Oreochromis niloticus: one gene and its partners. The protein of the gene in region 2 binds, or shares a complex with, the protein of the main gene of each other region. Links are inferred from orthologs where the notes say so. Each region holds a gene or a part of one and is shown on either strand. Other genes may lie near its edges. The genes, in order: gps2, coro2aa and hdac3.

What was found.
Region 1: coro2aa (region 2) and gps2 share a complex: the UniProt entries of both Homo sapiens proteins name them as parts of the N-Cor repressor complex. The link is inferred for Oreochromis niloticus from reciprocal best matches to the Homo sapiens genes CORO2A and GPS2.
Region 3: coro2aa (region 2) and hdac3 share a complex: the UniProt entries of both Homo sapiens proteins name them as parts of the N-Cor repressor complex. The link is inferred for Oreochromis niloticus from reciprocal best matches to the Homo sapiens genes CORO2A and HDAC3.

The regions. Positions count from the first base shown.
Region 1 is NC_031967.2:15,820,917-15,831,904, forward strand, and holds the start of gps2 (G protein pathway suppressor 2), read left to right. Parts: upstream 1-5,724; 5' UTR 5,725-5,912; intron 5,913-6,313; 5' UTR 6,314-6,337; coding exon 6,338-6,431; intron 6,432-8,117; coding exon 8,118-8,227; intron 8,228-8,324; coding exon 8,325-8,437; intron 8,438-8,520; coding exon 8,521-8,600; intron 8,601-8,682; coding exon 8,683-8,762; intron 8,763-8,864; coding exon 8,865-9,036; intron 9,037-10,300; coding exon 10,301-10,378; intron 10,379-10,469; coding exon 10,470-10,546; intron 10,547-10,729; coding exon 10,730-10,825; intron 10,826-10,988. Other genes in the region: gabarapa (gamma-aminobutyric acid receptor-associated protein), read left to right, coding at 2,068-2,157, 3,483-3,561, 3,662-3,780, 3,928-4,008. UniProt on the Homo sapiens protein: Key regulator of inflammation, lipid metabolism and mitochondrion homeostasis that acts by inhibiting the activity of the ubiquitin-conjugating enzyme UBE2N/Ubc13, thereby inhibiting 'Lys-63'-linked ubiquitination.
Region 2 is NC_031971.2:17,334,618-17,345,704, forward strand, and holds the start of coro2aa (coronin-2A), read left to right. Parts: upstream 1-5,876; 5' UTR 5,877-5,903; coding exon 5,904-5,963; intron 5,964-11,087. Other genes in the region: uso1 (general vesicular transport factor p115), read left to right, coding at 1,119-1,193.
Region 3 is NC_031966.2:33,367,440-33,378,517, forward strand, and holds the start of hdac3 (histone deacetylase 3), read left to right. Parts: upstream 1-5,728; 5' UTR 5,729-5,884; coding exon 5,885-5,939; intron 5,940-6,679; coding exon 6,680-6,762; intron 6,763-6,923; coding exon 6,924-7,066; intron 7,067-7,319; coding exon 7,320-7,401; intron 7,402-7,967; coding exon 7,968-8,024; intron 8,025-8,113; coding exon 8,114-8,169; intron 8,170-8,254; coding exon 8,255-8,388; intron 8,389-8,990; coding exon 8,991-9,071; intron 9,072-9,191; coding exon 9,192-9,265; intron 9,266-9,357; coding exon 9,358-9,422; intron 9,423-9,599; coding exon 9,600-9,689; intron 9,690-9,780; coding exon 9,781-9,839; intron 9,840-10,089; coding exon 10,090-10,169; intron 10,170-10,266; coding exon 10,267-10,424; intron 10,425-10,505; coding exon 10,506-10,575; 3' UTR 10,576-11,078. UniProt on the Homo sapiens protein: Histone deacetylase that catalyzes the deacetylation of lysine residues on the N-terminal part of the core histones (H2A, H2B, H3 and H4), and some other non-histone substrates.

The DNA of each region.
Region 1 (10,988 bases), on a different chromosome or scaffold from region 2:
GGGGAAGAGTTAGCTGTTTGGTTGGGGTCTGGGATGCTTGGCCTCCCTGCTGCTGCAGGACTGGGGGCGGTCTGCTTGTCTCCACCCCAGAGCAAAGTGCAACATCTCCAGGGCCTGGGGGCGGATTGCCCCTTTGGGGGTGATTGTACCTGGACCTGGGGGATGTGAGTGTGTGTACAGTGTTCATTTCTGTTTGTCTTCACATTGGGCGAGTGCTGAGTATTTGCATATGTGTGCATGAGGATGGGAATGCATGTTTGTCTATGTGTCAGGTCGGGTCTTAGACTCCACCTCTCTGGGAACATCTCAGGCCCCCCCAGGTGTGGGGGTCTATCTCCCTCCACCACACTCCCTGCCAGTGGCTGATGCCCTCAGCCATCGGTGCTTTGGTGGTTCACGGTATCCAGGGCTGGGTGCTCGAGTATGTACTGGCTCACTCCCAGTGGCTGCTTTTGCTTGTTTTCTTTTTTTTCTTCCAGCAGGTAATCCAGCTGATTTTTTTAGTGTCTTTTTTTTCACTGTCCCTCTTCCTCTCTCCTTTTCTTGAACTTCTCTTGTCTAGTTCTTTCCCTTTCCTATCCTCCAGCCATCTCTCTTCCGTTTGTAATAACTTAAAAGTTAAAAATAAATTAAAAAATAAAATAATATAATTAATAATAATAAAGATCAATCAAATGGACCACGGCAAAGCCATAATGATCCACTTGGAAAAATAAATCCGTTAGGCATTTTTCTTGGCCTTCAGACAATCATTCTAATTGCTACAGTGCCGAGTGGGAGAGGCAAAAAAAAAAAAAAGAATATCATGTTTAATGTAGATCAGTCAGTGTTTGTCATCAGCTGAGTATACACTTTAATTCTTAAAGTTCCTGCTGTGAAAGAGCCATGAGACTGAAATCTAGAACACAAAGGGGGAAAAAATACAACCAAAAAAATGTATAACCAATAAAGAAAACAAGAGACAATATTAAAATTATCAGCCAACGTTCTGGTCTGAAGCAGGAGAGGGTTGTTTCACTTTAACAGAAATATGTGTTGTAATTTTTAGATATATGCAATCTGTCTCATCACTGTGCACAAAAGGAAGATCATGAGGTTTTGAACCAAAAGGATGTCACATGGATGTGACTCACAGACCTGTGGGTCATATGCGCAATAGGCAGGTGAGTAACTTTTCCTGAGTGTTTCAGGATGTATGAGTGGCAGCTTTGGAGGCACAGTTTGTTTACCAAATGTGTTCATGTCAAAACTTAAAAATTAAACTCTTTTTTAATATATAAACTTATGAATAAAATAACCCAGTAAATTCCCATAGTTACACATAAAGTTATCCTAAAAACAGCATTTAGCAACAATTTGCATAAATGATAAAACTCCTGATTATTTGCTGCTTTCGTCTGTTATGGTGTAATGAGTCGTAAACCCCGAGTAATTAGAGGAAACTTAGTAGGCACTGTGTTCACCATTAAATACGCAGTAACTTATGCTTACATAAAATAATCCAACATGCTGCAGAAATGTGATAAACGTGTTTGGTTCAGGGTTTATCACCGTGCATCAGCGAAACCCGTAGCACAATGAAATGTCGCATGTTTTTCAGTTTCTCCCCCCCAACCACAGACTGCTGGGCCTCGGTCATATGACAAGGACAGATCCCTCCTCAGTGCCCTGCCCAGCGTCTTTATGCGCAGCGGCTGATAAAACATAAAATAGTTCCACGTAAAAGAAAAGAAAAAGAAAGAAAGGCAACGTTGATTCGTAAGCCCTTCGTATACTGTTTATTTCAAGATTGTTATTATTTTTTTCTTGAATACGCGTCGATTATCATCACACAGTCGACGTTAACAGGGTTTAAAACAAGGTGAGGTACGCCCCTGCGAACTACCCTTTCCTCTACGTCATCTTGTTATTGTATCCCTCCGCTGCAGTCGCACTAGGAAAACAGCTGTGGCGAGGCTAAGGCTAGTTAGCATCGTTTGTGTTTGTGTGTCCGCGATTCGAGTCACTTCTTAAGCAACCCGTACCACCGCGGAGTGACCGACTTGTTGTCTGTCATCTCTTTTAAAGATGAAGTTTCAGTACAAAGAAGAGCATCCCTTTGAGAAGAGGCGGTCCGAAGGCGAGAAAATAAGAAAGAAGTATCCGGACAGGGTGCCAGTAAGTAGCTAACGTTAGCTCCTTGACAGCTAGCTATGTTGCCTTGCTGTTATACTGCTGTCAGGCTAATGTCGTTATGCTCACTGTTTTATTTTTATTACTAATGTAAGCTTAATATCTAAATGTGATATTGTAGTGAGATTTTACCCACACAATGTATTGCTTAGTTTGTTTACTGCCACGTTGTAACCGCCACACATGGTAGCTAACAACGGCAGAGGTTAAGTAGGAATTTCGGCCGCTTTGAGCAGGCCAGCAGGTGATCTCCGTGTTATTCTTCCGTGAATCATCATTGGTGGCCAGATAATGGTGGTTATGACTGTAACGGTGGTTACGGTGAAGACATGCAGGTGTGCACAGACTCTTTTAGTGGTCTGTAGCTGGATGTTGAAACGCAGTAGAGCGCCTTAAAATAGATGCTGTCAACAAAACGGGGTTGTTTACGTCGCCCAGCTTCTTGGAGATAAATCATAAAGGCTTTCCCCAGTTAGTCTGGCCTATCGAGACCCTTTGTGTCACAACTATCAGCTGATTTAATGTGGGGATTTTGGGTTTTTCCTGTAAAGTGTGACGAAATTCACTTGCCTTTCAATCGTGATCACTTTTAAGCTTTCGTTTTACAGTCCTTCAGTCGTCGTTTACCATAAACTTGTTCTGTGGCTACAACAAACAATTAACTATCGTAGTCAATTACCCACTGCTTATTTTCTCTATTAATTGAATACCTATTTGGTTACTAAATGGTGAAAACAGTCCATAACAACTTCCCAAAGACCCAGATGACATTCACAGATGTCGTGTTTTGTCTGATCATTTGAATTCAAACTCTCATTCACCATCATAAAATGGTACTGACAAAAAAATGTCACATCAGGTGCTGATTCATTTAAAAAAAGAGGGGGCAAAAACGCTGATTAATTGTGGAGTCAGTGTTTACCGTGTGGGCAAGTGATATTTTACCAGTCCTATTTTTAGACTGGAGAGAGACTTAAAGAGGTTTAGTAAGGAAGGCGTTCAAAAATTAAACGGCACGTCTGATAGCCGGGGTGTAAATATACCAGGTTCTTTCCAACACTGAAATACTTTTTCGAAATATAATCTGTGTTATATTAAACACTTCGTCTGGGTTCGATATGCTCGGCCTCGCTTGACTGACAGTTTGGTACACTCTCAGATCCCTTTTCCGAGACAATGAAGCGAACACCATATTTCACCCTCTACACTTGCAGCCTTTCTAATAAAAACATGTTGTACACCTGTTGTGTTTTTTTTTTTTTTTTTTTTCTTTCTTTTCTTTTTTTTCTTTTGTTTTTCTAACCTTTTAGGTAATTGTGGAGAAAGCACCCAAAGCCAGAATAGGAGATCTGGACAAGAAGAAGTACCTTGTCCCCTCTGACCTGACGGGTAAACATTGCCTTGGAGCATAAAAAGTTGTTTACTTCTATTTTAGAGTGGCAATGTCACATCTGAAATTTCTACTATTACATATTGTCTCTTTCATCAGTGGGACAGTTTTACTTCCTCATCCGGAAAAGAATCCACTTGCGAGCTGAGGATGCGCTCTTCTTCTTTGTAAACAACGTCATTCCACCCACCTCAGCTACCATGGGATTGTTGTACCAGGCAAGAGTCCTGTTAAGCTTCCTGCTCACTCACATGCTCTCACATTATGGCTTAACCAGCATGTTGCCTTTGGTTGTTCCTCTTTAGCCTCTCCCTACATTATTGATATTGCGCTAACATGTTTTTTCTTTTTTCCCCTTCCATCAGGAGCATCATGAAGAGGACTTTTTCCTCTACATTGCCTACAGTGATGAGAGTGTGTATGGGGACAGCCAAAGGGAAATCTGATCCCACTTCAACCACTACCCACCTTTCTGAGACCTCCACATCCATTCATTCATTTAAATATTAAATCCAGCTCAGCAGCCTACAGTTCCCAGAGTGAATATGTCAAATGCACTTTCACCACCCATACATTACCCCTCTTGCATCCAATTCTGTCTTTATTACTCTGCAGTCTGAATTGTATTTGTCTCCCACTTTTCTTTTCAACAGTAACTAAGTGGTCTCATGGCCAGTTCAATTTCTAGTGTCAAACCGATTGTACTTTACTTAAAAACAATGAGAGAGATTAATGAAATAATACTAGAAATAGGCCTTTTTTTTTTTTCTTTTTTTTTCCATTTGTGTTAGTTTGAGCTTAGGCTGAGAAATGAAAGGGAAAGAGAACTCTTTCACTAGGAAAAAACAAACTAAAGTGGCAAAATTTATTTAAAGCATGTTAAGGAGAATTTAGCTTGCTGCCCTGCATTGGACCTTAGCAAGGAGTATAATAGAATTCAGACTAAATTATCATCCTCTGCTTTAAGTGGTAAGACTATTATGTTGACTGCTAATGATTATTGTTGTTATTGTTGTTAATTTTTAGATGGCTTACTTTCTAAGGGTTGTGTAAAGCTGAGTGCAATTTTTTTTCTTCTCTTTTTTTTAAGGGTTTGTTTTTTTTTGTAAGAAAAAAAAAATTACAATTTGAACTCTGTATACAGCTGCGTTACTGGCTCTTTCTCTCTATTCATGACCATACATAATAAAATGTGATGAAATACTATCTGCTGTTTGTCTTTTTTGTCCCTTTGCTACAGAGTAACAAATAATTACACTTTTATTTTTTTAGCCACGTGAGTTGTGCCTTTCAATGTAATGAAACGTTACATTGGTTAATTTGACACTGTGCGCTTCAAGGGAGTTACAAAAGTTACAAAAACATGAACCTGTGATTTAGTTTGTTTTTTTTTTCTGGTTGCGTGGGTTGTTTTATCATATCAGCTTCTGTTGCTGCACTGATAATCTGACTCGCAAAGTCATGCATGTCCACGTGTATGTTTATAATTTTTGTTATATGCAAGGAAGCCATTTGACTCCAACATCTATTCTTTCCTCCACCTGCTTTCTTTAAGGCGTTACAAAAGTAGACTGGTAGGACAGGGACATACAAAAAAAAAAACGGGAAGGAAGCTCTGATGTGGCTCAGTTGGTAGAGCAGGTTTTCTACTAATCAGAGAGTTGGTAGTTTGATCCCTGGCTTCTCTAGCCTACAAGTCAAAGTATGTTTAGCCAAGATACTAAAACCCAATTTGACCTCAGTACATTCATGAAAAGAAAAGTGTTTGGGTGAATGAGACTTGCAGTTAGAAAGTGCTTTGAGTGCTCTAATAGTTGAACAGTTCTGTGTAAGTAGCAAATAACAAAGAAGGTAGTATGTAATGTAAGTATAAAAGAAAAAAAGACAAGTGGAACATGTAATTTACTGTTGTAATTAATGAGGAAATTACTCATGTTTTGCCAATGAAATCAAAGTGGTTAGCCCACATTCGGCACAAGGAAGCTTTGGTGTTTCCTAAGTCATTCCCTTGATAGGAAATCAAATATTTGAACTGTAAAACTGTCAAATCAAGCATCAAGGAAAGAAAACACGACATACACAAAACTGCTTGGAAGTTTCATTTTGCTGACGTCAACGTGAGATTCGCCGCATTGCACTTCAAAACTACAACTCCCAAAGTGCACTTCGAAGCGTGACCGCGTTCTTTGAACCGGAAATGCAACAGCATCCCCGGTCTGGAAATCGCTCCGTCTGTTTATGTTTTGTGGGAGAAGTTTTGATTTTTATCTGTTTTAACCGCTCGAGGTCTATCAAGCTGAAAACCGCCAGACGGTTAGATTCTTATTAAAAGACTCACAACGAAATAAAAGTAAGCTTTTTACAGTTTTATCAGCACAGAATTCAAAGCAGATCATGTAGGATAAAATGCGTAACGCAGTTAAGTGCTCTGCAGCTAGCCTCGCTAGCTAACGTTTGTTCCCGGTTAAGTTAAAATATATAATTTTTGTCAGGGGTTTACACTTGTAAGCTACATCACTTGTAATATTAAATTACTATGCCTTCCGTTGGTGCATTATACTCTAAATATTGTCATGTATTGGGAAGTACAGCTATCTGTGCTAACTTAGGCCGATATCGGCTAGCTAGCGAGGCCTGTGGTTGTTACACCTGTTTGGGTGAGCGTAGATGCACACTTTGATGTAGTTTAATGAACTTTAAATATTTCATCTGACCTTGTCGATTCATTACTGACATTTTGACCCACACCAGCTGGCCCCTCCACTGCCTGTCACAATGCCCGCCCTGCTTGAGAGACCCAAGCTGTCCAACGCGATGGCCAGAGCTCTCCACAAACACATAATGAGGGAAAGAGAGCGCAAGAGACAAGGTGCTCTCTCATTTTGTGTGTGTGTGTGTGTGTGTGTATGCGCTTTAAAAAGTAGTTTAGCCCTAGTGTGTCACAGGGTGTCACATCTGACACCTTTAAGGATTCTTGTAGAAATAAGCAAGCACTGTTAAGATGCTGAGCTGTGTTTGGAAAGGTAATACTCCAGAGCAGCGGTCCCCAACCTTTTTTGCGCCACGGACCGGTTTATGCCCGACAATATTTTCACGGACCGGCAATGAGGTGTCGCGGATGAATACAACAAAATAAAACTAGTGCCGGTACCGAAAAAAAGAAGATTTATTCATAACACACGTGAAAAGACCCAGGAAAACCGAGTTAACGATAAAAACAATAACAAAATAACGCTGAAAACCGATAAAAACCCTGAAAACCATACATTTCACACCTGAACCTCAACTCTCGCGGCCCGGTACCGAACGACTCACGGACCGGTACCGGTCCGAGGCCCGGGGGTTGGGGACCGCTGCTCCAGAGTATAAATTGTTTTTAGCATTTAGCCAATAAAACAAATTAATTAACTTTTCTTGTTCTTTCTTTGTAATTCTGGAAAATTTCACTAAGGTCTGCGTCATCTAGATTAAAGTCCTATGTTTATGCGTGTATTCTTCAAATAATCTATAATAATAATGTATACTTTATTGATCCCCGTGGGGAAATTCCTCTCTGCATTTATCCATCCATGATTGTGATTTACTATGTAATAATACACTCACCTGCTAGTTTGTTAGGTACAAATACATAATCATCCAGTGCATTTACCATATCGACATGGTCAAGACGACCCACTAAAGTTCAAATTGAGCATCAGAATGAGGAAAAAATGTGATTTAAATGACTTTGCTCGAACTATATTACAACCAAGGTGTCACTGAATGCACAACACGTCAAACCATGAAGCAGATGGGTTAAAGCAGCACAGGGCACCGCTCCTATCAGCTAAGAACAGGAAACTGAAGCTACAGTTTGCACAGGCTCACCAAAATTTTGCAATAGAAGATTGACAAAAAACAAAACAAAACATTTGCCGGTCTGATGAGTGTCAGTTTCCACTGCAATATTCAGATGGTAGGCTCACTTTTAGGTGTAAACGGCATAAGAGTATGATTCCATCCTGCTTTGTATCAATGGTGCAATGATATGGTGATTTTTCTCTTGGAACACGGTGGACCTCTTAGGACAAATTAAGAGTCGTCAGCCCTAGTATTGTTGATGAACATGTGCGTCTGCTTCCAGCAGGATAGCACACCATGTCTCAAAACTCAAATCAAATTGAAACTGGTTTCTTGAACATGACAGTGAGTTCACTGTAGTTAAACTACATCCACAGTCACCAGATCTGAATTTAATAGAGCACCTTGGGATGCGGTGGAACAAGAGATTCACATCATGAATGTGCAGCAGCTGTGTGATGTGCCATGTCAACATGGATCATTTCTGAGGAATGTTTACAGCACATCGTTGAATATGTCCAGTGAAGAATTAAGACAGTTTTAAAGGAATAAAGGGGTTCAACCCTATAGTAGCAAAATGTACCTAAAAAAGTGGCTGGTGAGTGTATATGTTATAGCTGTCTGCCTGCAACCTGTTCTTTGGTCATAGATCTAAAAGGCAATCAAAAAAAAGTAGCTACATTATACTCACCTTAATAAATGTACTTTTTTTCAGAGGAGGAAGAGGTGGACAAAATGATGGAGCAGAAGATGAAGGAAGAGGAAGAGAGGAAGAGGACAAAAGAGATAGAGGAGAGGATGTCCTTGGAGGAAACAAAAGAACAGGTTTGAAATGTGACATTTCAGCTAGTCTGTGCTCCCAGCTCTATACAAAACAAAGTCTGTGTGTTCTTACACCATGATTTCCTCAAATAAACATCAGGTGATGAAGATGGGGGAAAAACTTCAGGGACTACAAGAAGAGAAACATCAGCTCTTTTTACAGCTCAAGAAAGTTCTCCACGAAGAGGAGAAAAGACGAAGAAAAGAGCAGAGGTTTCTATATGTACTTCACTTAGTTTGTTGTTTTGTCAGAGGATTGTTAATTGTCGGTTAATCTTTTTGGTCTCCTTCTTTAGTGATATTACAACTTTGACATCAGCGAGCTACCAGCAGAGTCTGCCCATGCACCCAGGACAGCACCTCCTCGGCATTCAAGGCGAGAAAAGTTCCAGGTTCTGCGCCTTGCCAGAGTCGTCATTATTTTTCATATAGTGACATTCTCCTTTTCTCTCCTTCAGGCAATCCAGTCAGCCACAGCAGACCTGCCCCACTGCTCGGAGAAAGGAGCAAACAGCTGTTCCCAGCTGCTGTCCTCCCTGTGAGTAAAAGGAGTGTTCCACTTAAAGAATTCATAAAATATAATACGATCTATATAATATGCTTCTTACAGTGTTTACATGTGCACGTTGTCCTCTTTTAGGCACGCCATTATCAGACGCCTGGCTTCAGCTCAGGCTCCGCAGAGCATGGCCAGTTCAGCGGAGGTCAGGGGGTCCATGAGCCCTACGGAGTGGCTCAGGCTCAGCATCCTTCCAGCTACGCCCCCGGACCCTCAGTGCCAGTCAGTTTCGCAAGCAGCTCTCAGATCAGAGGTAAGATGAGATAAGATTTCTTTGCTGTCAATGTGTACAGTGGTACAGTAAAATTTTGAGTAATGTGTCACAGTGACATGACTTACATCCAGTCATATACACGATAAAAAAAAACTGTATAAGACAGGAAGAAACAGGAAACGAGGGAGTGAAATAAGATGCACATTAGGTGAAGGTGTAAAACAGCAGAGCACAGTACCACGCTGTTTGTGCGTCACAGTTCACAAACACAAATGTGTTATACACTAGTTGTAATTGTGTAAGAGGTCATTTTGTCCTTTAATGTTCAAACAATGTTCTCTAGTGGCACAGTGAACTCACAAAGAAATGAATTATCAGCATCATGTGTGGGATTCCTCCATCTTTACTTGGATTTCAGGAGCTGACATAGAATACAATCTGAGCCGGTTGCAGGCTGCTGTGTCAGGCTGGGCTTGTTGAAGTATAGTTGGGCAGTCCAGAGGGAGGGTATAGCCATTATTCAAAGGTTAAGGAAGGCATTCTAGTAGTTTTAAGGCTATATCCTTATCAGAGTCTTGACAGTAATAAGCATGATACACATAAATATAGCTAAAGTTAAACTAATACATGTAATTGAGTCCATATATGGTTCAGAGAACATTATGTGTGTGAGTGTGTGACCTCTGGTAAGCAGTAGATCATGTATGTGTGTGTCTGTGTGTAGTCTGAGTCATCAAGCTTCATTCTGGGCCTGCTTCAGAGCCCTGTGGGTGTTTGAATTTGAAGAGAAAGGAAAGACTGTCCAACCAATCAGAAGTTAGAAACAGTGCTGGTATTTTAATATGTGTTCATTGGCATAAAGAGAAATGCTTTTGTTGAGCAAGATGCATGTTTGAGTAGGCTGAGCCCATCTCAGCCCACAGGTACCACCAGTCTTAGTTGATTTTGATTGACATAGACGTGTACATCGTGTTTATACAAATCAACTATGAAATCATTTCTCGCACAGTTTGAAACTCTCCGCTCAAACAGTCTAAGCTCTAAACTGACAGTCCAGCCGACAGCTTTCGTTTGTTCAAAGCAGCCTGATTTCAGCCGAAAAATAAAATCCCCCACTGAGTGCGAAGTCATTTTTCTTTAAGCTTGCATTTTTCAAATGTGGATGCACCGTGGAGTCAGCGGTATGCTATTCAGATGCTCCCGTGTGGCGTCAGTAATGTCGGAAACCCGCTGATTGATCATTAAAACAATCAGATCACAGTGAGATGTATTGATTGTAATGACTTTGCCTTTTTCCCCACAGGCGCATCTGCATTTCAAGCAATGCAGTACCTCCCTCACCAGCAGGCTGGTTACCCTGTTCACTTCACCTCCCAGCAAGGTGGGTTTCACTGCTGTAAATTATACCTATGTCTAATTCCACGATCTACATAAAATTCAGAGTTGTAAAGTAACCTGACCATCTTCTGCAGGATACATCCCTGGAGCAGGAATACCCCTGCAGAAGCAGCTGGAACATGCTAACCAACAGTCGGGCTTTACTGACGCAGTAAGACCATTTCAGCTTTAGATGCTGCGATGCAGAAACAGCAGATGTTGCTGGAATATTAGATTATTTCCTGCTGTTTCTATTCATATTAGACCAAACACAAAAATAAACTCTGTGACATGTGATCGTCTAAATAACAGAAGTTGTTCCATTAGCTGATCAGTTTTCCTTCTGTCATGTCAGAGTGGTTTGAGGCCCATGCACCCCCCAGCCATGCATCCTTCCGCCCCAGGTCTGCTGCCCACATCGTCGATGGCGGTCCAGATCCCTACTGCAAAGGTGAACCCCCAAAACACACACACCATTTGTTTTTCATCCTGTGTTATGGGGCCAAGTAACTTGTATATTACTTGTTTTTCTTCTAAACATATTCAGTATAAGTAAAGTCTGAGCTGCTACAGTGTTTATGTTCATTAATGTTCTGCTTCTTGTCTTTCTTCTG
Region 2 (11,087 bases):
CTTCCGCAAGTTTGCACTTTTGATGAATATTCTCCAGAGGACTTAAAACAGAACAAACATCAGGGTAACACTGCTTGTTTGTAATATCCTGTATCACAGACATTAAATTAGCAGTGTTGTTATTGAAACTATGACATATCTCATGATATTGATGTGGCTCTATGACAGTCGGTGTAAAATTGATTTGATTGCAGTTTTTAAAATAGCTTAAATATGTTTTTCAGTTGTGAGAGTTTTGATTAGATAGCCAGGTATGGAGGATTTGAAAGAGCTGGAGGGAAAAAAAAAAGAAGTTGGATTAAGTACAAAATTTCAAACTGTCCCTTGGTTTTTTGTTTTTTTTTTTGTCGTTGTTTTTTTGTTTGTTTTTATCCCAGTGTAGTGTGTATGTAGTCTGATCTGAACTTGCCCCAGATTAGTCAGTCTGATCCAAATAAATGAACAGTGAGTTGGTTCTGATTAGCGAGAGTTCAAAATAAAAACGACCACACTACAGCCTCAATCACACATGCCGAGACAGCAGTAACTAAAATGTGTATTCACCGACTGGTTGGCTAGTGGTTTCCAGCTGTCACCAAGTGAAAATGGCTGCATAGAGGGTGCTGCAGTCTTGCGAGCAGGTTGCAGTTGCCCATAATTTGCATGCAAGTAATTCATGAGTGTCTGCAGGTTACACAGAAACTACGGGCGACCACCGCAATCTGTGGTGCAGCACTGGTTAACTTTATGCACCTGTTGTTGTTCCCCCCCCCCAATCAACTGTGAGCAACCTGCAGCAACCGCTCACCAACTGGTTGGAGACTACAAGTTGTCTCCAGTGACCTGTGTCTGCTGGGTGGTTTCAAAGCCTGTGTGATTGTGGCCTATAGGGTTGAAATGGACTCTTTTTAGTCATTCATCTTATTTTTTTTATTGCAAAACAAACAAAAAAAACCCAGCAAGATTTTAGTGTCTAGTCTTGCACTAAGTATCATTAAAGCTCGTTAGCTGTCGTGGTAGCTTTAGCAGTGAGTAATTATTTAATAGTTACAGAGGAATAGATGCAAACACCTAAGTGCGGACCACTCAGTTCTGTTTCGTCTGTCTGCTTTAGTTAGACTGTGACCCTTTCCTTGCAGGTGGAAGATGAAGATGACCTTGACACCAGGGACCAGACAGACGACGATGACGAGGAGGATGAAGATGAGGACTAGAGAAAAACAATGAAAGGAGAAAAAGGAGAGAAAAGACTCTGCAGAAACGCACCTGAGAAACTGAGTAGGACTAAAATATGGAAGCAGTTTCTCGTCCGGGCTGCCATGCTGTGTTCTTCTTTACCCCGACACGTGTACGTGTTAGTTTTTGGACATTTTTAGTTCAAGATGACGATGTTCTTTCCAAAAACTCAATTTTCAGCGACAGCTGAGAGATTTAAACATGTCAGTGTATTCATCTCTGCTGCATTCACCATCAGTTTGTGATGGATTTTATTAGTTTTGTTGTTTTTTTTTTTTTCTAATGTACTGTCACATAGTTCCTAATCACAGAAAAACCCTTAAGTTAATTTTAACACATCTGGAGAATTTGCAGAAGCAGATTTAAAATGTGTCACCATGCATTCTCATTTTTCCCCATCCTGCACTGCTGCCCTCACCAGTACAAGCACCTGCAGCATTGGCGTCACCTGCACTTCGCCCCCCCGATCAGTTCGAGTTCAGCGTCACAGTTGTTCCATTTCACTGACTGCTCTGCAATATGCTGCAAAACACTGATGGAAAAGATGTAAAGAGACAAAAAAGACATATTTTTGCAACTTTTTGTCCAGTACTGGCATCCAGCTTCTGTATGATATTGTGTAACTTATCACTTTAAGAGGAACATTGAAATGAATAAAGAATCTATCTGTATGGCGGAATAATTGTAGATAAATTAAATTTTACTAAATCCATAATGAGACCTGGCTGTTAGGATTTTTTTTAATTTTTTTTTTTTTTTTAATTCAAGTGTTTAAAAAAATGTTCACGCTGAATGTTTTCATACCAAATTAATAACACTAAATGATTAGTGTCTGTCACTAAAACCTGAAAAGGAGGCATGGTGGGACATCGTACATTTACTGAGAATAAACTGTTGTACCCTAAAGCGTCTTCTGCTAAACACTTTTCCTTTCCTTGGTGAAAAACTTGTGGATCGAGAAAAATGTGAAGGAGAGTTCAGAAGGATTTCTGAGATGGAAATAGCTTAACAATGGGATGATGTGCTGAAACTACAGGTGGACTACAAAATATGCATCTTGGATGCTTCAAACATGTTCTCCTGATTCATGAAAGAAGGAACCACCATGTTGAATAAAAATAAATACAAATATAATATTTTGAAATGAAATGCTTTCTGAGTTTAGTTGTTTAGTTTAACTCCTGCCTGGCTTTGTGTGACTGGAGTAAAACTGATAATGAAAGCTTGGTAAAACTGCAAACTATATTATAATAAAGCACGCTATTAATAAACATAGTCGTCAAAAAAAGTATCCACAGTACTTTATCCAGTGCTGTGACTGAGTACACCCCATGACTCAGTTGCAATGTATGAATTACTGCATGTACTGTTAGTGAATGAGGGAGTCGCTTCTTGTTTAATGCCATACATACAAAGCACCAGTCTCTTAATGATACATAATGCTTTGTCATAACTGCATTTAATTAGGGTTGAGGAAAATCAGCAGCTTCATCAGAAAATGTTTTGGATTTCCAGTTACCTTGGAAACGTTAATAAACGAGCTTCAGTTTAATGGCACACTCCTGTTGACATAAATCCACCATGACGCATGTTTATGATGACGTTTGTGGGAGAAGTTGACACTTGATGGTATTAAACCATGGTTGAAAACAGAATGGGACCTTAGCTACAGGCCCATGTTTTCACAGAGCCGTGCTCAGTTAACATACTATCAGCCAACAACCTTGGCTGATAGTGACGCACACCTGTTTTCACACCTTTGAAAGCTGAGTTCAGTTTCACTAACTACTCTCGGGCCTGATTACTGTCAGTTTTGCTGAATCAAGAAATCACTTAGATTAGCATTCCCCCCCCCTCAATACGTTAAATCATAGTTTAGGAAGGAAGGAGGCAAATGCTTTTTCACAGCAATGCACAAGGATTATTAAAATGTTAAAAGTCCTGCCTCTACAACAGTTGCTTGAAATATTAGAAATTGGTGCCAGCGGATTATTTCCAATATGTATCTAATATTCTTTCGCCCAGTACCTCAGAGAAGTAGAGTCACATGTCAGGGTTGATTTTCCTGAAACAAAGGACAACAAATTATAAAACAGGAAATTTAAAACTTTTAACCAACAAGAAGCACATGCTGGTTAAAAGTAAGCCAATAAGGCAGATGAAGCCATGACTGAGGTGCCATGGTGAAAGCAGCATGAATTACTCATGACTTTTATTCATTACTAGCTGACTGTTAATGAAATTTACCAAAATTAATTTTATTCTGTTTATTTAATATTTTACTCACCGATTATCTTTTTCTGTATAATATAATAATTAAAATTTTTTTTTTACGTGTTAAGGTTATGATTGATAAGGCTTTTGTAATAGCGCTGTTTCACCGCTGGGGGGCAATAAAAACCCTGAAATGAAAATGTGTGGCAGACCTGTCACACAACATGGCATCCATCCCTTTTTTCTTTCTGTTTCTTTAAATTTTCCATATAAGCAATTAAAAATGATCTGGCTTTCAATTTTTTCACCATTAGTCTTTAAAAATTGTTTAGCTTTTACATTAACTTACATTAATCAACATCTGTGCAGTGTAACCGTTAGTAAGCAGAGTTTATATAATGTCCACATACACACACACACTAAACATAAAGCATATAGGATCTATGCAAACACAGTGATATGGATCATGCTTCACTGAGAGTAAAACAACACATCGCCACATTTGCTGACCACATTTCAGCAGCTGCTCTCGCTTCCAGACCCTGGGGCAAAACTGATGTGTGAGTTTTTATTGACAGCTCCTCTGTGTGATCCCTGCTGCCTGCCAGCTGTAACACAGAACACTGTACACGACACGCTCAGCACGGTTTGCCTACACAGAAACCAGGCGCTCTGCTTCAGGTGTGCATGTCAATGAGCTTTACACACACACACACACACCCACACACCACATCAGCAAAATGATCTATGTAAAATTACAAAACATGTGACAGAAAACACACAAACCACACGCACACACATACAAATAAAGGATCTATGCAAATACAGCGATACTCAGCGGGAGCCAAACACGAGAGTAAACAAGGTGCTAAAGCATATTGTTTTGATTTGGCTCTCAAATATACTGAACTGAGCTTCATTCATATGATAACCTGGCTGCTGAAAGGTGACACTGATGGTGATGGACTCTTAAAATAAATGTGCATCATCGATATGTTTTTCTACTTTTTTTGATGAATGAAACTGTAAACTGCAGTTAGGGATGGACACACAGGGTGCTGTTTAGCTGCTATGCATAATAATAATAAAAAGAAAATGCAACCAAGAGCAGACAGATTATAAATCAGGGATGTCAAACTTATTTTGATCTTATGTGTGCTGGACCGGTTAAAAATGCAATTAAAAATAAAATAAAATAAATGTATATTAAAATTAATATAAGACAAAGAAGAGCAATTTCAACAGTACGCCTCAGTTTTCCTACGTGATAAAGGAATGCTGTAGTAAGGTGTAAAACCTGTGAAACTACAGTAAAAGATAAAAATGTATGTCCTCCACATTTTCCAAAGCCGTGCAGTGGGCCGGATTAGAGTTTCCGAGGGGCCGACTCTGTCCCCCGGGCCCTATGTTTGACACCCCTGCTATAATTAAGATTTATTTGATTTTACAGTGGGTGAATAAAGAGCAGGTTAATGTAAACGAAACAGGGCTAATGCTTCCTCTGCTCTTGTGTGATTGATCGTGAAACTGTCATGTTGTGTGTGAAACTGTTAAAATGTTATTTTAACATCGCTTGTTTGGCCTTCAGGCTACTCGGTGTTCATGATAATATTTTTATATCTTTGCACTGATCGACCTGGATTTCCTCGCCCCTCCCTGCCTCCTCCCTCCTCTTCCTCCTCTCTCGTCGCGTCCTGTGCTCGCATCTCTCCTCATCCACCCTCCTCCTCCTCTTTTCTTTTTTTTCATGGTGGCTGCAGTTTGAAGGGCAGAGAAAATGTTTTGGCTGTGAGATTTTATTTATGTTATTATTATTATTGTTGTTGTTATTGTCTTCTTTTTTAAAAAAAATTCCGGGGGACTCTCAAGGTTGAGGCGGGCGTCATGACTTTTAAGTGACCACTCTGCCACAGCAATCGGTGATGTAACACGACTGGTTCCTGCTCCCCGGCTAGTCCCCTCCACCACCAGCAAAGCCAGCACATCCAGCAGGAGCAGCTCCACCGCTCGAGCCTTCTTCCCTCGGGGGAAACACTACCACCTGACGCCACATCTCGCCCCTTATGACCGTCTCAAAGGTGAGTTCCCTTCTGCTCCAACTTCTCGCTTTGTGTTGCTTACTTGCCATCACGCACTCGCTGCGTGTGCGGGTGGGACACTTTGGGGGGGGTCTGAGCTGCAGCCGGAGTTGGAGCTGTGCCATGCGGCTCCACAGCCTGCTCCCAGGTTGGATTTTAGCGGACGACTTTGCGGCAGCCACGAGGTTTGTTTGCACGCATTTCATCCCCCCCTACCCCACACCCCACACCCCACACTACCCCACACCTCCACACTACCCCACACCTCCAACCTCTTGCTTGGTATTTGACAATGTGACGCAGAAGTGGGCAGCGGTTTCTGTTACAGCTGATCGGGTCTCCCCCCCCCCCAGGCACACACAGTATAGCACGACTCCATAGCTCTCTGCTGTTTCTATGTTTGCATGGGTGGAAACAGAAAAACCTGCACTGTCAACTTCACCATATTTAAACGGAGTGAGTACAGTAGTTGATCGAATTGATTATACGTTAAGTGGACACTTTATTAGGTACACCTTGCTAGTCCTGGGTTGGATCTTTTGCCTTCTAAACGGCACAGGTGCTGGAAACATCTCTGAGAGATTTTGGTCCGTATTGACAGGATGGCACATCTATTAGATGTGCTCTGTTAGACTGAGGTTTGGACTGTGGGGGTCATTTGATTACAGTGAAGTCACCTGTGTTCAAGAGACCAGTCTGAGATGATTTGAACTTTGTGACATGGTGTGTTAACTAAAGCAGCCATTGGAACATGTCATCATAAAGGGATGGACATGGTCACAATGCTCAGATAAGCATTTTTCTGTGGCAAAGATGCTCAGTTGGATCTAAGGATGCAAAAGTGTGCTGAGAAAACATCCTTCACACCATTACATCACCAACATGAACCGTCTATACGAGGCAGGATGGATCCCCGCTTTCATGTTGTTTGCACCAAAATCTGACCCAACCATTTCAGCGAGACTCGTCAGATCTGTTGTCCAATTCTGGCGAGCGTGTATGAACTGTAGCCTCAATGTGGTCTTCTGCTTCATGGTCTGACATGCTGTGCTTTCAGAGATGCTCTTCTGCATACTTCAGCTGTAAAGCGTCACCGTTGCCTTTCTCTATGCTTGAGACAGTCTGAAGATGGTGTATGAAAATCCCAGTATAGATCACCAGTTTGTGGAATAATCAGAGCAGCCCGTCTGCCACATTCACAGTCACTCAAATCCCCTTTCTTCCTCGTTCTGATGCTCAGTTTAAACTTCAGCAGGTCGTCTTGAGCACATCCAAGTGTGATTGGCTGATTCGATACTGGGGTTAATGAAAGCAGTTTAATGAATAAAATTGAAAGTAATTGAAAATAGAATTAAATCCATAATTAAGTTTGCTTAAAAAGTATTTAGATTTTCCACATCTAATTATCTTTAGTATTGGAAATTTAGAAGATTTTAGCTGTGAAATCCACATTTGACTTTTTTTTATTCCAGCTATCAGTCCAGAGCACACACATGCTTAGCTGTCATGTATGATGGAGAAAAGCACACCGTCCTGAACATTATCTCTTTTTAATCAAGATAGCTGTCAAGTCAAGGCAACAGCTAAAAATGAGCACTTTCACCAAACAAGTACTGAAAAAAAAGACTGATATTAAAATAAAATTCTGCTTCTTTTTCTTTTATATGAAACAAAATTCAGTATTTAGGTTGTTGGACAAAGCAGCCTTTTTTAAAAAAATATTATTGTTTCTGGTTGTTTTAAAATATTAGCTCAATAGCTCAACAGAAAACAGTTTTAAATAATTGTTTAAAATTGTTAACTGAAGCTTTAGTTTACTTTTCATCTTTGAATAAAAGGAAAAAAGTAATCCCTACAGATAGCTGATTAGTTATCTGGTTAATTTTCAAACAACCGTGTGAACACGTTAGCGTTTTAAATAATACTTTTGTTTTGGAAAAACACTTTAAAGGTGTTTCATTATTCAGGACCTGCGAGTCGCACATTTGTATTTTTTCTTGTGAGCAAACACAAAATCCAAACAGTTGTACACTGATAAAGCTGTAATCAAAATGCTGCAGGTCCCATCAGCGAGTATATTGTGAATAGATTTGGTGTGGCCGTTCAGTGTAAACACCTCCCTGCTTCTAAGTGAAGCCTGTTATTTCTGCTCTGTGGGTGGCTGTACTCTTTCAGGCCACCAGTTCACCAGATTGTTTGGATCCATTGTGTGTTTTTTTTTTTTTTTTAAATTCACTTCTGTCTGGATGGGCGTAAATAAACTTAAGACAAAGAAAAATAACAGTTTGAGAGCTGTGTTTAATGAACCGAGTCTAATGCTCACCACATGTGGAGCTGTGGGACAAATTTAGGACTTTAGTGCCAGTTGGCTCTTCAAGTGTGGCAGTGCACATCAGTTTCACAGAAGGCCGGTCCAGAGCGTGCGCCGTGATTGGACCAAACGAATATTTGTATTATTTCCAGGGGATTTTCAGATGTGTGACTGAATTGTTTTATCAAATTCTTCCTTCTATTTTATTTTTCCATAAGTTGTGGTTAGTTGGTTCAGTGAAAGTCCCATTTAACTGCATTTATTTTCGCAGTTTGATATTGATATTCTCAATTTTCCTGTAGCGTTAGATAAAAACAGAGCTTTGTATCCAAGGTGAATATTTGGGGGAGATGAGACTGCAGATTTTTGTAAGCCTTATCCAGTCTGTTTGGGAGTCACTCTGAGTCACAGCGCAGTGTTTGGAGACAGGTTGCCTCCCACCAGGTGACCTGTTCAATTCCTGGCCCACATATTGAGGGCGTTGGCTCTGGGGAACCAGTTGGTCGTCGCAGCTAATCAGAAAGTGTTGCTGGAAATGGAAAAAATCCATTTAATCAGTGGGCAACCATTTTTTTTCCCTTCCTTTCTTCCCAAGTCAAAACGAGGGATTTTTACTCTACTATTTTTATTCTACTGTGACAGAGCCGTACAGTGTTTTGGTTTTGTGCTCATGTAATGTTTTTAATCTTTTTCAACATTTTTATCACTAACAGCTTCAAAATTAGCTCAAAGAACAGTTTACATTTATTAATGAGCCTCATCAATAATAAACCCAACTTAGGCCAGCCCAGCTTACTGCTTCCAGCTATTGGTAGGAGTCTTTCCTGTGAGATTCATGCAGCTTTACAGGGTTAGCTACATGAGTATCCATTTGACAGGTGAGCAGTTATAAAGTCACAGCTGAATCATGCATTACACAGCAGCTTTCTTCAGGTTGAGTCATGAGTGGTGCCATCAGGGTTTTTTTTTTTTTTTTTTTTTTTGGTGATCATTTTTATTAAAGCCCCTTTTGCAGCTTTTCGGGACCTGACTTTGAAATCTGCTTCTTCTTCTTTTTAAAAGAATTGCGGATTAATAGGTTACAGCTATATTTGTGACCTCTCAAATCAATAAAACAACAATCAAAATATATCAACGGGTATCCTAGCAACCTTGAAAACAGACTTTAAGGTTGCTGATATGGCTAGATAAAACATCGTCACCCATGGACAGACTTTTCACTGTTCAACAGGTTAGGAAATCATAAATGAACTAATAAAAAAGTTTGGTCATCAACCCCGGCGGCAAAGTTGGGTTTGTGATCATTAAATTTATCAAGCCGAAACTGTCAGCCCCACCTGTTAGCTGGAAAGTGGCAGCCCTGACTGTTAGGTGGAAACGATTAGCTCCCCCATGACTCTGACATATTTTCATATTTTCCCTCTGCACTGATTAAACTTAATAGGATCCAAGTTCAAGGCTCCTGTCAGGGCTGACCACAGACACCAGCCTGACCTTTCCGCCCATCTTTATGCTAAGCGAAGTGGCTCCTAAACACTTTCCAAGCATTTAACACTCAAAAAGAAGCTCCAAAAATGTCGAGCTGCTCTGTTTAAAGATGTAAAATAATAGTGTTTAGTTTAAGAATTGACCTCATTTTTTAAATACTTCCTAATGATACACTAACAGTTCGCTGCTCTCCCCCCTTTGGGAATTTTATCAGAGCGCCTGAGATAAACAGCGAGGTCAGTTACCGCTCTTCAGCTTGGCGGGGGCTTGATGCAGATTTCTGCGTGCCCCTGACAAAAAAAGTCTGTAGCTAATGAACAGCGAACATGTTTTGGGGTTGCGCAGAGTTTAAGACTAAAGCGTGTCAGTTTGAGGCACGACTTTTGGTGCCATGCTGTGTGGAGAGGTGTCATGCCAGCTCTCGAGTTGTCTAATTAGGCCTGTCATCCACCTAATGGCCAACCCGCTGCCAAAAACAGCATTAGACTAATGAGTTTGCCACACGTCTGCGCTTGTGTGAAACAAAAATCTCCCGACCACAAATGAACCCTCCCTGCTGTAGCCGGCTTTGAACTCGGGTGAAAAATCTTGACAGTCTCATTTTTAACGAGGTGTTTGTGGGATCTGTAGGCACCACAGGCTCTTCTGTTTAAATCCACTGTAGAGAGAGTAAAAAATCTGCTGCGCAGTTTCATGTTAGGGCCATAAAACGCTAACCTGGCATGTCATCACACAGACTGTTAAACGCATACCTGAGATTCCCTCGCTTTGTCCAGCCTGTGACGTGTGCTGTTTGCTATGTAGATCCTCATTTCCTCAGAATCTCTGAAGCAGAGCCTCTTTTGATTTTTTTGTTTTGTTTTTTCCCTGCTGTGGAAATACTTGGCTGTTTATCTTGTAGTATATCTTCCTGTCACTCACATCTGCAGCAGTGATGAGGCACTTGCTGCTGCTGCTGCTGCTTTTAGGGGTCAGTCTGTCCTTCTGTAACACCTGCAATGAACTGAAGGTGTGCTTTTCAGCAAACATGCCCTTGAATCAACCCGATGACCTGAGCGCTAGAAAATCTGTGCAGGATATATGCGGCTGTTAAGCTGCTGTTGTGCAATAAAGTGATGACAAACCTGTTGTTATGGGCCATTTAGTCCCCTGTATGACTGCAGCCAGAGCTTGGTTTGCATTTCCAGCAGTAACCTGTTCCCTGTGGGAGGCGGAGTTTCTAAGGTGCAGCCAAGCAGCAGCGGCTTTCCAGATTGGTGGCGTCAGGATCACTTCTCTGTTCCTGCTTCATTGATAAGTAACCCTCAGGTCTTTGGAGATGCGGTAAGGAGCTCAGTCATTTGGGAGGGGCTCAGATTAGAGCTAAAAGGTACCAATTGAGGTGGTTCAGGTGTCCAATAAGGATGCCTCCAGGATACGTCTTAGGTGAGGTGTTTCCAGCATGTCCTCAGGGGGGAGGCAAAGCATGTACCTCTCAGCTGGCTTGGGAAGACCTCAGTATCACGCTGGAAAAGCTGGAAGAGGTGGAGAGGGGGGCCTGGGCGCCCTAGCAACCCAGACAAGCAGCAGAAGCTGGATAGATGGATGAACAAACCTAGCAGCCAGTATAAGCCCTTTAAAAAAAAAAAAAAAAAAAAAAAATTGTACATAAAAATATTGTTACAATGTTGTGTTGTAACAGAGCTGAAAGAACAAACAGATTAATTAATCAGAAACGTGTTGCGAAAATCACATAATAAATTTTTAGCAGTGTTAAATTCACTGGTGGCTAATTTTCATCA
Region 3 (11,078 bases), on a different chromosome or scaffold from region 2:
AGTGTCAGTTTTTGTGGATTTCTGTCTCTTTGCAGTTAAACCTTGATGTTTGCACACACATGTAGGCACTTTGAAACTACTTATATATGTCATATATGTACTTATATATGTCACTGATAACACTTCTGTATGTTGTCTATATTGTCTTGGCGATAACACACAGGGATGAGTTGGAGAAGGCACTTGTCCTGTGTGTGTATGTGTGTAAATCAGAGAGTGTGTGTTTGTGTGCGTCTTAACAAACCGGCAGAGACAGATGCTTGACAGAACAGATTTGGACCCTGGGGCCAAAACAAGCCAGCTAAGGAGGAAGCCCACACACAAGCACATGTGTGCGCGCGCGCGCACACACACACACACACACACACACACACACACTTCATAGGTATACAAATGAAAATCTTGACAAGCCTCTAACTCTGACAAGTGTGACGCAGTTATTAAAGTTTAAAACATCCAAGGTGGAATATTTTACAGGCTGCAGGATCAACAGTGTGTTATAATTGAGTGTAATTTATATATCCAGCAAACAGAAAGGAGAAATGTCACCAGTTGGTAACCAGTGTTGGTCAAGTTACTTGAAAAAAGTAATCAGTTACTAATTACTGATTACTTCCCCCAAAAAGTAATCCCGTTACTTTACTGATTACTTATTTTCAAAAGTAATCAATTACTTAGTTACTTAGTTACTTTTTAAAAACACGATTTACAACCTGAATAGGTGATAAAGCGATAGATCTTTCAGCCCAATTCTACTTTTTCTGCATAATTCATCATACAAAATGTAATCAAATGGAAAAGTCTCTTTTTAAAACTTGTTTTATTAGTTTTAATCTTTTAACTTTATGCATCAAGCAAAAATTAAATTATATGCAACATTCTCTGACTGGAAGAAATTTGTTTAACATTTAAACCTATTTTCTGCACATTCCAGCACATAAAATAAAATATTTTTTTGTGTTTACACTCACTCTTTCAAATAGATGCAAGTAAAACACAGCAGAAAATAAATAAAATCAAAGACTAGCGGTCCTGTTGCTCTATTTTCACCTGTAAAGCAGGACTGGGGTAGGCGGAGGTTTACCCTGGTGCAGGTGTGCCGCAGCGGTCAGTGGAAGAATCCGCGAGTTTCTCTGTGAATTTCACATTACAGTCGTAGTACACTCGCTGCTTGCTTGGAAGATTAGGGGTTTTTTTCGCTGTAAAAAGAAGTTTTCTTCCCACGCACAACGGACACTAATGTTTTTGTCACTTTTTATGGAATCAAACTCAAAATAAGGTCAGTACTTCCACGCTTTAAACGCTGCATGCTACACTCTGTCCCGCACTCGATATATTATGATCTGCAGACAGCTGTTGTCACGAACGTCGCACTCGCTTACGTCACTGTCATGAGACGTTCTCGCAAAAAATCACGGTTTTAGTAACGCGGTAACGCAGCGTTCCTACGTGAAAGTAACGGTAATCTAATTACCGTTTTTGCAATAGTAATCCCTTACATTACTCGTTACTTGAAAAAAGTAATCGGATTACATTAACGCGTTACAAGTAACGCGTTACTGCCCATCTCTGTTGGTAACTTTAGTAAAATGTATTTTAATTCAATTCCCCGCGTGCCTCTTCCACCACACACTCAGGCCTCTACACAATCTCATTTCCTTCAGTGATTTTGGCCTGTCTGCGATTGTGAGTCACATTTGTATATTTATTTCTTAAGGCAAACCTCCCGTCCAGTTCCTGTACTGAACCCTGTACCCTAACCCCCTCATCATATCAGACAGCCCTGTGTCGACTGTGGAGATCTTCAAGTTCCTGGGTACCACCATCTCCCAGGACCTGAAGTGGGAGACCAACATCAACTCCATCCTCAAAAAGACCCAGCAGAGGATGTACTTCCTGAGACAACTGGGGAAGTACAGGTTTCCACAGAAGCTGCTGATCCAGTTCTACACTGCGGTCATTGAGTCTGTCCTGTGCTCCTCCATCACAGTCTGGTATGGAGCAGCCACTAAACAGGACAGGAGCAGACTGCAGCGGACTGTACGGGCAGCAGAAAAGATCATCGGCACCCCCCTGCCCTCCATCCAGGACCTGCACCTCTCAAGAACCAGGAAACGCGCAGGGAAAATCATCACAGACCCCTCACACCCTGGACACAGACTCTTTGACCTGCTGCCTTCTAGCAGACGGTACAGAAGCCTGCAGACCAGTTTCTTTCCCCTCGCCATCTCCATGCTAAACAGATGAACTGTCACATTGCTTCACACTGCCAGACTGCAGCTGCACTTTATGTACATTCTGTGGTATTCATTTTTCTAATCCTGTGTTTTTTTATGTGAGTATTTAGATTGTTTTTATACTGTGGTTTATGCATAGCGTTCACTGTGCCACTCATAAATTGTCTGTTTTACATTGTTGTGCCGGAACCAAATTCCTTGTATGTGTTTGCACATATACTTGGCCAATAAATGTGATTCTGATTTTGTGGAGTTTGGTCTGTGAGGAATTGTCAGAGAGATGGGGATCGACTTCAGAAGGACGAGGAAGGTTGCGTGACCAGTGTCTATCCTGGGACAGGATATTGATGTGGTGTTGGAGTACGAGTACCTGGGTGTCCACATCGGCTGAACTGGGAGACCAACACAGAGGCCACAGAAAGGAGATGAGCAGGCTCCTGTTGCAGAACGATGCAGATTTTCTATTAATCATTAGTCGGTTGTGGGAAGTGCGGTCTGATGGGAGAGCCTGTGACAGCAACAGACGGAACAAACTGATTAAAGCTGGCTCTGTGATTGGCTGTGAACTGAACAAAAGGTTGTCCATCATGAATAGTTGTGATGACTGTGCACCTAGTAGTAGTATTATTAGTATTAGTGTTACTATGTATCTTGATATTGGCTTCAGTCCTTTATATACATTAAATTATTATTGCAAATAAAAAGTTAAATTTATTTGTTTTCAAAATAGTTTTATTAATGATCTCGATGTTAGTTGAGCTCTGCTAAGGAGAGCTTGTTTACTGTAAATGTGATCTTTTAGGAAACATTTGTGTCCCCCACAAGACATGAAACCCCAGTGAGAACTGTTTGTGTGCAATATTATTTTGGGGGAAATAAAAGGAGCTTTAAATAGTGCCTAAAGGTAAATTCTTACAATTCTTAATGATACAGACAGACAGACATATAAATTTTACACCTGTGCTAACCTGTGTTGAACTCTCTGTAACTTGCAACTTCAGCAATGAATAATACATAAACGATTCAATTCCAGAGCAGCACTGCCTTTTAGCTCCAGGCAGAAAAACACGGAGCAGGGAGGGAGACGGAGAGAGGGTGAGAGGAAGCAAACAAGCAGCAGATAGAAAAATCAAACATACCTCCAGAAATTCCAACGCAAAACGACTGACAAGCCAACACACATACTGCAGAGTGAAGGCTTTAGTCGTGCCAGCCTCTCCAGCACAACCCTTAAAATTCATGGATGAACAGCTGTGTCCTTTCCCTCCTGTACAGCAGCCCAACATAGTGTGTTACTACAGACTTCACCACAATACTGCACACTAAACCATTTACCTGCACTAAACTGTATCAACCCCGCTGGTATTTTCATACAACCTTTCGTGCAGCAACACATGCATAGATCATTTAAAATGATTGAATTATTTGTTGAGCAGTTCTTGCCTTTTAATAATATCTCCTGTCTTCCCCTCCTGCCCTCCCTTTTTCACACCTTTCTCCAAAAATCCTTAGGGACCAAATTGTTTTTAGAACAGGCTGTAATGATTTTGAATGCTGTAAAGATGCCTTTTTTTTTATAGTGACTGACTTGGTTTTGGAGCTGGGTTTTTAGGCTTCCAGTGCCAGAAGTTGTTGCTTGGTCCTTACCAGTGTTTGTGGTGTGGTGTGGCTGGGGCCTAGCCCCTTACCCCTAACCCTAACCATGAAAAATGAATGCCTAACCCTAAACCCAACCATAACCCAATTGTAACCCTGACACTAAAACCACATTTTTAGTCTCAAAAATGCCTTCAAACTCGTTCGGACCAGAATTTTGATCCCCATAAGGCAGGGGTGGGGAACCCTAGCCCCAGGGGCCGGTGTCCTGCAGGCTTTAGATCTCACTCTGGCTCAACACACCTGAATCACAAAGATGTTAATACCCGTCCACACACACACAGATTTTTATTTTTTACGGCGGAAAAGAAGGGAGGAAACACGTGGACAAGAAAAGAAGAATACAGACACGGAAATGAAATCAAAGACACTAAACTTTCAAAGCTTCACAGTCTGACCGCATGTTTACTGATTTTCACTGATGCTGGATACAGTGGATACACAGTAACATGTTTCCTTTGTTTTCCACCTCTGTTACCGTCCTTTCACTGCCACGTGTGTACAGTCTGCCTTTAAAAGTAGGGGGAAAAAAGCATTTTATGATGCAGAGAAGCTCCAGCAAGTTCCGCTTCATCATTTTTAAATGAGCAGGTGTTCAAGAATGAAACCGGTGCCACTGTTAGCGCTTTGGTGCTGTTTTGAATTCATCCTCATGTAATTTGTCAGTAAGCTTGCAGAGACATGCTGTCCTGGATGAATAATAGATGCTGTCAAAATCACCTGAATAGCAAAATAATCCTCTAAAAATAGCTCAAAGGTAACTACATTTAAACCTGACACTGCCAACTGATAGCACGCGACAGATTTTAACCAGAAAAGTATTCTAATAGTGTCAGATCAGATTTATCGAACTGTTGTGGCTATTGAGGAGCAAAGAAAATAATAATTGTATATGACATACATAAAAAAGAGGGTTAAAACTTGGTTTGGTTAGGATAACTTTTCTTATCTTTTTCTCAGGTTTGTATAACATTGGGTATACATAGGATTTATACAGGTAAACAGAAAGGAAAACACATCCTTAGCAGGTCTTAGCAGGCAGCAAAGACGTGATATGAGCTATATGCTCAAAACACTTCATAACAATGGAGGTGAGTGCTACTGGGTGTAGCCATTGAAGCAGCTCAGATTAGGCTTCTTTGGGACAGGTGTGATGGTGGTCCTCTTAAAGAACTACAGGTTGAAGATTTCTGTGAACATATCTGCCAGTTCGTGAACACATGCTTTGAGAACACGACCTGGGATGTTATCCGGTCCCGGAGCTTTCTGTGTGTAGTAGTTACACACATCTGCCTGAGGGATCTAAAACAATGTTTTTAACTGCAGAATAATGTACTTCAATTTGTTTTTAAATGCCCTTTTAGCCAACTGCTAAAACTTTTTACACTTACTGATGATCAGTTAATCAAGTGTGTACCTGGCTGCTACTTACTCTCTCAATCACAGTGGAAACAGTATGGGTGCATTGGCTTTTCACACACTGCTTCTGTATTTTCTACTTTTTTAAAATAATAACAACACAGTGTATATCATATGCCGTCTTATGCTTTCAGTCTGAGATTTTATTTTCCTAATTTTAAGACATAACCAAGGGATTTGTATTATGCACTGATATGTAAAAAAAAATATAAGTTTTAATTATGTGTGGATGAGTTTATTAAAGTAAACTGTATATTGTATATACTGTATAACTTAAGCACGTTGCTCAAGGTTTCTTTCCATTCTTTTTCAATTGTACTTCTTTAACTTCATGTAATGAAAAATACAGAAAGCTACTGTAGCTTTCTCTCAATCTGTCGCGGCTGTTTTGGTTTTTTTCTTTCCAGCTCCGTGGCCCCTCCCCTCTCCGTCGCTGCTGTCTCCGTGTGATGACGCAGACGCCTCGGTGTTTACTATGGCGGCTATCTGCTAATTGAAAGAAAAATGCGGGTTTTGTAGCTGCAAAGACGACAACAGTTTTTCGTAGAAAGTCGGGAGACATTGCTTTCAGAATGACCAATAGAACATCTTACTTTTACGACCCAGACGTGGGCAATTTCCACTACGGTAAGTTTTATTATCACAGTGAACCGGCCTACTCAGGGAGCTGATGCTAAGGAAAGCTAGCTACATGCTAATGTGTACGAGACTGCGTTTTATTTTTATTTTCTCAGTTCTTTTCTTTCTTTCTTTTTAACATTTAGTTTTGCGTCACTGCTACACTTTAATATTTAATTTGATTTGTTTATATATTACAGCTGGGCTTTGCTTGCGCCTTTGACCTTAAGATGTAACGTTATTGACGCGTATTGTAGCCCTGTGTTCAGTATCTGCCTGTTAAAGCTTTTATTCGGATGTCTAGGTGCTTCATACGGTGTCTTAAATGGATAACGTGGCGGTTGCGTGACAGTAACAATAAATAAATAAAGTAATATGACTGTCTACGCTTATGCTGCTTTTACGGTGAAGTGATACGCTGTACAAATTCAAACTTTAGTGCTGCAATACGCATGCTCACAGGATACACTTACTGTGCCTGTTTTTTTTTTTTGTTGTTGTTTTTTTGTTTTTTTTTGCAAATTACCTCAAGTATTTATCTTTTGTAACAGCGCATGGATGGCTCTGTTTCAGTGTGCCAAATCTCTTTCGTCATAAATTGTACCAATTTCAACCGTGTTTCTCTTTTAGGTGATTAGCCATAATGTATACACTTAGTTCTTTTTTTTTTTTTAGGCATTTTGACCTGATTAATGTCTGTGAAATGCAGATATAAGCCCTGTAATGCATGAACTGTGTGTTTCTGTTAGGTGCTGGCCACCCGATGAAGCCTCACCGGTTGTCTCTCACTCACAGTCTGGTGTTGCACTATGGACTTTACAAGAAAATGATGGTGAGCGAGCAGTAGTGACAGATACTGTCACGTGTTCACACCTGTTGATGCTTTTCACACTGAAATAACATTTTATAAATCTTGTGTTTGTTTGGTTGGTTTTTTTTGTTAGAAACAACAAGATCATGCTGCAGTCTATCAAATGTTCTTTTTCCCACTAGGTGTTCAAGCCATACAAAGCATCTCAGCATGACATGTGTCGCTTCCACTCTGAAGACTACATTGACTTCCTACAGAAGGTCAGCCCCAATAACATGCAGGGCTTCACAAAGAGTCTCAACGCGTTTAATGTGGGAGATGACTGGTGAGCGTTATCTCGTTCTCATTAAATACGTTTTTATCGAGAAAAAGAATCTGAATGATTTAATGAAGTTTTCACAAGACCTGTGAAAAACTAAGTACACCTTTACTGCTTCCATAGGAATTAAGAACTAAGGACTGTATTTTTCAAGCAGCTATCTTGCTCTTCTTATTGTAAATGTTTCAGTATAAAAGCCTCTCTGATCATCACTGCTGACAAACCCATAACCTAAATATTTCATGTCTGTGTGTTTTAGTCCTGTGTTTCCAGGACTGTTTGAGTTCTGCTCAAGATACACGGGAGCATCCTTACAGGGGGCTACACAGCTCAACCACAAGGTAACACACACACGTAAACCCAGCTGATGGTTTTGGTGCTACAGAGAAAAAAAAGCAAAAACAACACAAGACCGAGGTAGCCTAGGGTGGCATCTGTTGGTTTCATTTTGAATTACAACTTAACGTGTTGACAGAGACACTCATTTATGTGATATCCTTGGGAAGCAGGTTGAGTCATTCATTGTTCTATGTGACCAAGGCTCTCTAGCTGAAGTAAGAAAGAAGAAAGGCCTCTCTTCATGTTTGCAGGAGGGAAAGTATCTCTCTCTCTCTTTCTCCCAGCAGCAGTAGACCTGCTGTTCAGTCTTTCTGTTTGTAAAGGGCAGCTAATCAGAAAAAAGTGAACCTAAAGGGAGGATAGGGGAAGCACTGCCTCTAAACATATTGCGTTCAGGAGTTTTGTGAGAATGTTTTAGTTTGTGTTTAAAAACTAAAATTGTTGCTCATCAAAGACGTTTCTGATTGGTTGTTTTGTTTTCCATCCTTTAAAACCGTCATAGTCTTCTGCATCGTGGTCAGTTAAAGTTGTGAGCTCTAATTGATGCTGACTCTGCTTTATTTTACAGATCTGTGACATTGCTATAAACTGGGCCGGAGGTTTGCATCATGCCAAAAAATTTGAGGTTAGAACAAAGACACATATATTGATGTGTGTCTTCTCTGTTCAGCTCATTTGAGTTAAATGTCTCTTTTGGTTCTTGTGTTGGTGTAGGCCTCTGGGTTTTGCTATGTCAATGACATCGTCATCAGTATACTGGAGCTCCTCAAGTAAGACGGCGCTCCTGAGTAACTCTCCTCGAATCTTTACCGTGTCTGTTGGTGACATAACTCTCCTGCTCTGTGCGTGTTCAAGGTACCACCCCAGGGTTCTTTACATTGACATAGACATTCACCATGGCGATGGCGTCCAGGAAGCCTTTTACCTCACAGACCGAGTCATGACCGTGTCCTTTCACAAATACGGGAACTACTTTTTCCCAGGGACAGGTAAATGCAGCTTTAATTATCTAACAAATGTTTGCTGTCCACATAGTGGTGTTTATATCGTTTGTTATTATTATTTTACTTGCGTGCAGCCCCAGAAGGCCAATTTAAAGGCATAGAAATACTGATGTAGTCCTCTGTCAGCTGTATCAGCAGATAAATGATAAGTGTATTCCAGGCGGGTTTCCATCTGTAGCAGACACTCACAGTAATTTCCTCTAGAGTCATAAAACTGTGAGATATCACTGATGTATACAAATAGGACCATTTATGTATATAAAACAAGCTTCTTGTGTCCATTACGCCGTCTCCTGCTGTCTTTGAGAGAATATAATCTTTGTTAGGATTGAGCTTGGACTTGGCCGTGTCCTCAGGCTGTGTCTGACCCTGTTGTTACGAGCCATTCGGTCCCCATTAAGTTTGTCTTGGACTCTGCCTGTGCTGCCCTTTGTCACTGATTGAGCTGTTTAGCAGTGCTATTTATTTTCTTTTTAAATACGACTCTAAAGTAGTGTTTGTTTTTCTGACCGTGGAATCACTGATTGGAATTAAAAGTCCAGCAAAAACAGAACTTCATCATCAGTTCTTCGCTCTGCTTCCTGTAGGTGACATGTACGAGGTCGGGGCAGAGAGCGGCCGGTACTACTGCCTCAATGTTCCTCTCAGAGACGGCATCGATGACCAGAGTGAGTGCAACAACATCCTCACTGACACATGAGATCACACTTTCTTATTGCTCTGCTGCACTGTTGTGACCATCACACAAGCTTCAACCAACTTGTTTGCATGCTTTGCTTTGTTTTCAGGCTACAGGCAGCTGTTCCAGCCCGTTATTAAACAGGTGGTGGATTATTACCAGCCGACCTGCATCGTCCTGCAGGTCAGTCAGTAGCGCCTATCGTTTGCTTCTGTATGATTTAATCTGTTTCTGTGTGTGTGCGATTACCTCACCTGGTGTGTGTCTGTCTGCAGTGTGGAGCGGACTCGCTGGGCTGCGACAGGCTGGGCTGCTTCAACCTCAGTATCCGAGGACACGGGTGAGACATAAACACAGTTTTTTCCAGCTGAACTCAAATGTTTTGAAACAGCCAGCACACAAGCACTGATAGTTGCAACATAATCTGTGTGTGTGTGTGTGTGTGTGTGTGTGTGTGTGTGTGTGTGTGTGTGTGTGTGTGTGTGTGTGTGTGTGTGTGTGTGTGTGTGGCTTTCAGTGAGTGTGTGGAGTTTGTGAAGAGCTTTAGGATCCCTCTGCTGGTTCTGGGAGGAGGAGGATACACAGTGAGGAACGTGGCTCGCTGTTGGTCAGTCTGATGCATAATTTCCATAAAAACAGCTTTAAGATGATGATGATGATCTGATGATGATAATAATCTGTGCTGTGCTGTGTTGTAGGACCTATGAGACGTCTCTGTTGTTGGATGAATCCATCAGTGATGAGCTGCCTTACAGCGGTGAGCTATGTTTCATGTTTCAGTGAGATTTTAATATCTTTGTTGGATTGTTTTGTGCGTGTTCTTGTTGTCCAGGATGTCATAATGAGCCTGAAAAATGATTTATGCATAAACAACAAATTAAAAACCAGTTAGTAGCTACTCTTAGAGTCACTACATGTGACACTACAGAGGACTGAGGGTGAAACAAGAAGGAAAGTGAATAGAAATAATTGGAACATCCCGTTTGTCTGATTTGGTTCGTCTGCAGAGTATTTTGAGTACTTTGCTCCAGACTTCACGTTGCACCCTGATGTCAGCACCAGGATAGAAAACCAGAACTCCCGACAGGTAAAAGCATCATTCCTCTTTTCATTGGTGTAAAGTGCACAGTAGAGATGCTGACATGCAGTCGGCCGACCCTCTCGCTGTGTTCATGTGTGTGCAGTATTTGGAGCAGATCCGTCAGACGGTGTTTGAGAACTTGAAAATGCTGAACCACGCGCCCAGCGTTCAGATCCACGACGTCCCGTCCGACATGCTGAGCTACGAGCGCAACGACGAGCCCGACCCCGATGAGAGGGGAGCTGAGGAGAACTACACCAGGTCAGCACGAGCCAGCAACACACGTGTATTTATGAAAGATTAGTGTGCACGATCTCACTGTTCATGATGTGACTCTCACAGGCCGGAGGCAGCAAATGAGTTCTACGACGGTGACCACGACAACGACAAAGAGAGCGACGTAGAAATTTGACGGTATTTTTAAAGCCCCACGGTGAAACAAGGAAAGCATTTCTGGAAGGACTCCGAGAACAGACTCCTGTGCATTCTGGTCTTTGTATACACACAGAAACGTGACATATATCAGACGTGCTGCTCTTTTTCTTGTTTCTGCTCCAGATTTTGTTTCATTTTTTTTCCTGCTTGTGATCTTCATGTTATCTTAATGAAATTTTTGGCTTCTGAAAGACTTATGCTGCACACAGCCTACGATTTAGATTCACCAGTCAGCCCGCAGGAGTTGAGAGCAGCTGGTTGGAGGCCAGATTGCATTGGGCGAAAAAACTCCAACACAGAGTTGGCACCAAACGTGGGAGTGCCTGCTCGGTGGCATTAGTCACACACAGGCCTGCTCAGATGGTTGCTGAAGTTTTCAAAGACACAATCTCAAATATACTCATTATTCTCAGAAGCAGACTAGCATTATTCATGTGCCTTACAGCTCTGAGAAGTCCAGCACAGAGCGGGGCACCATTT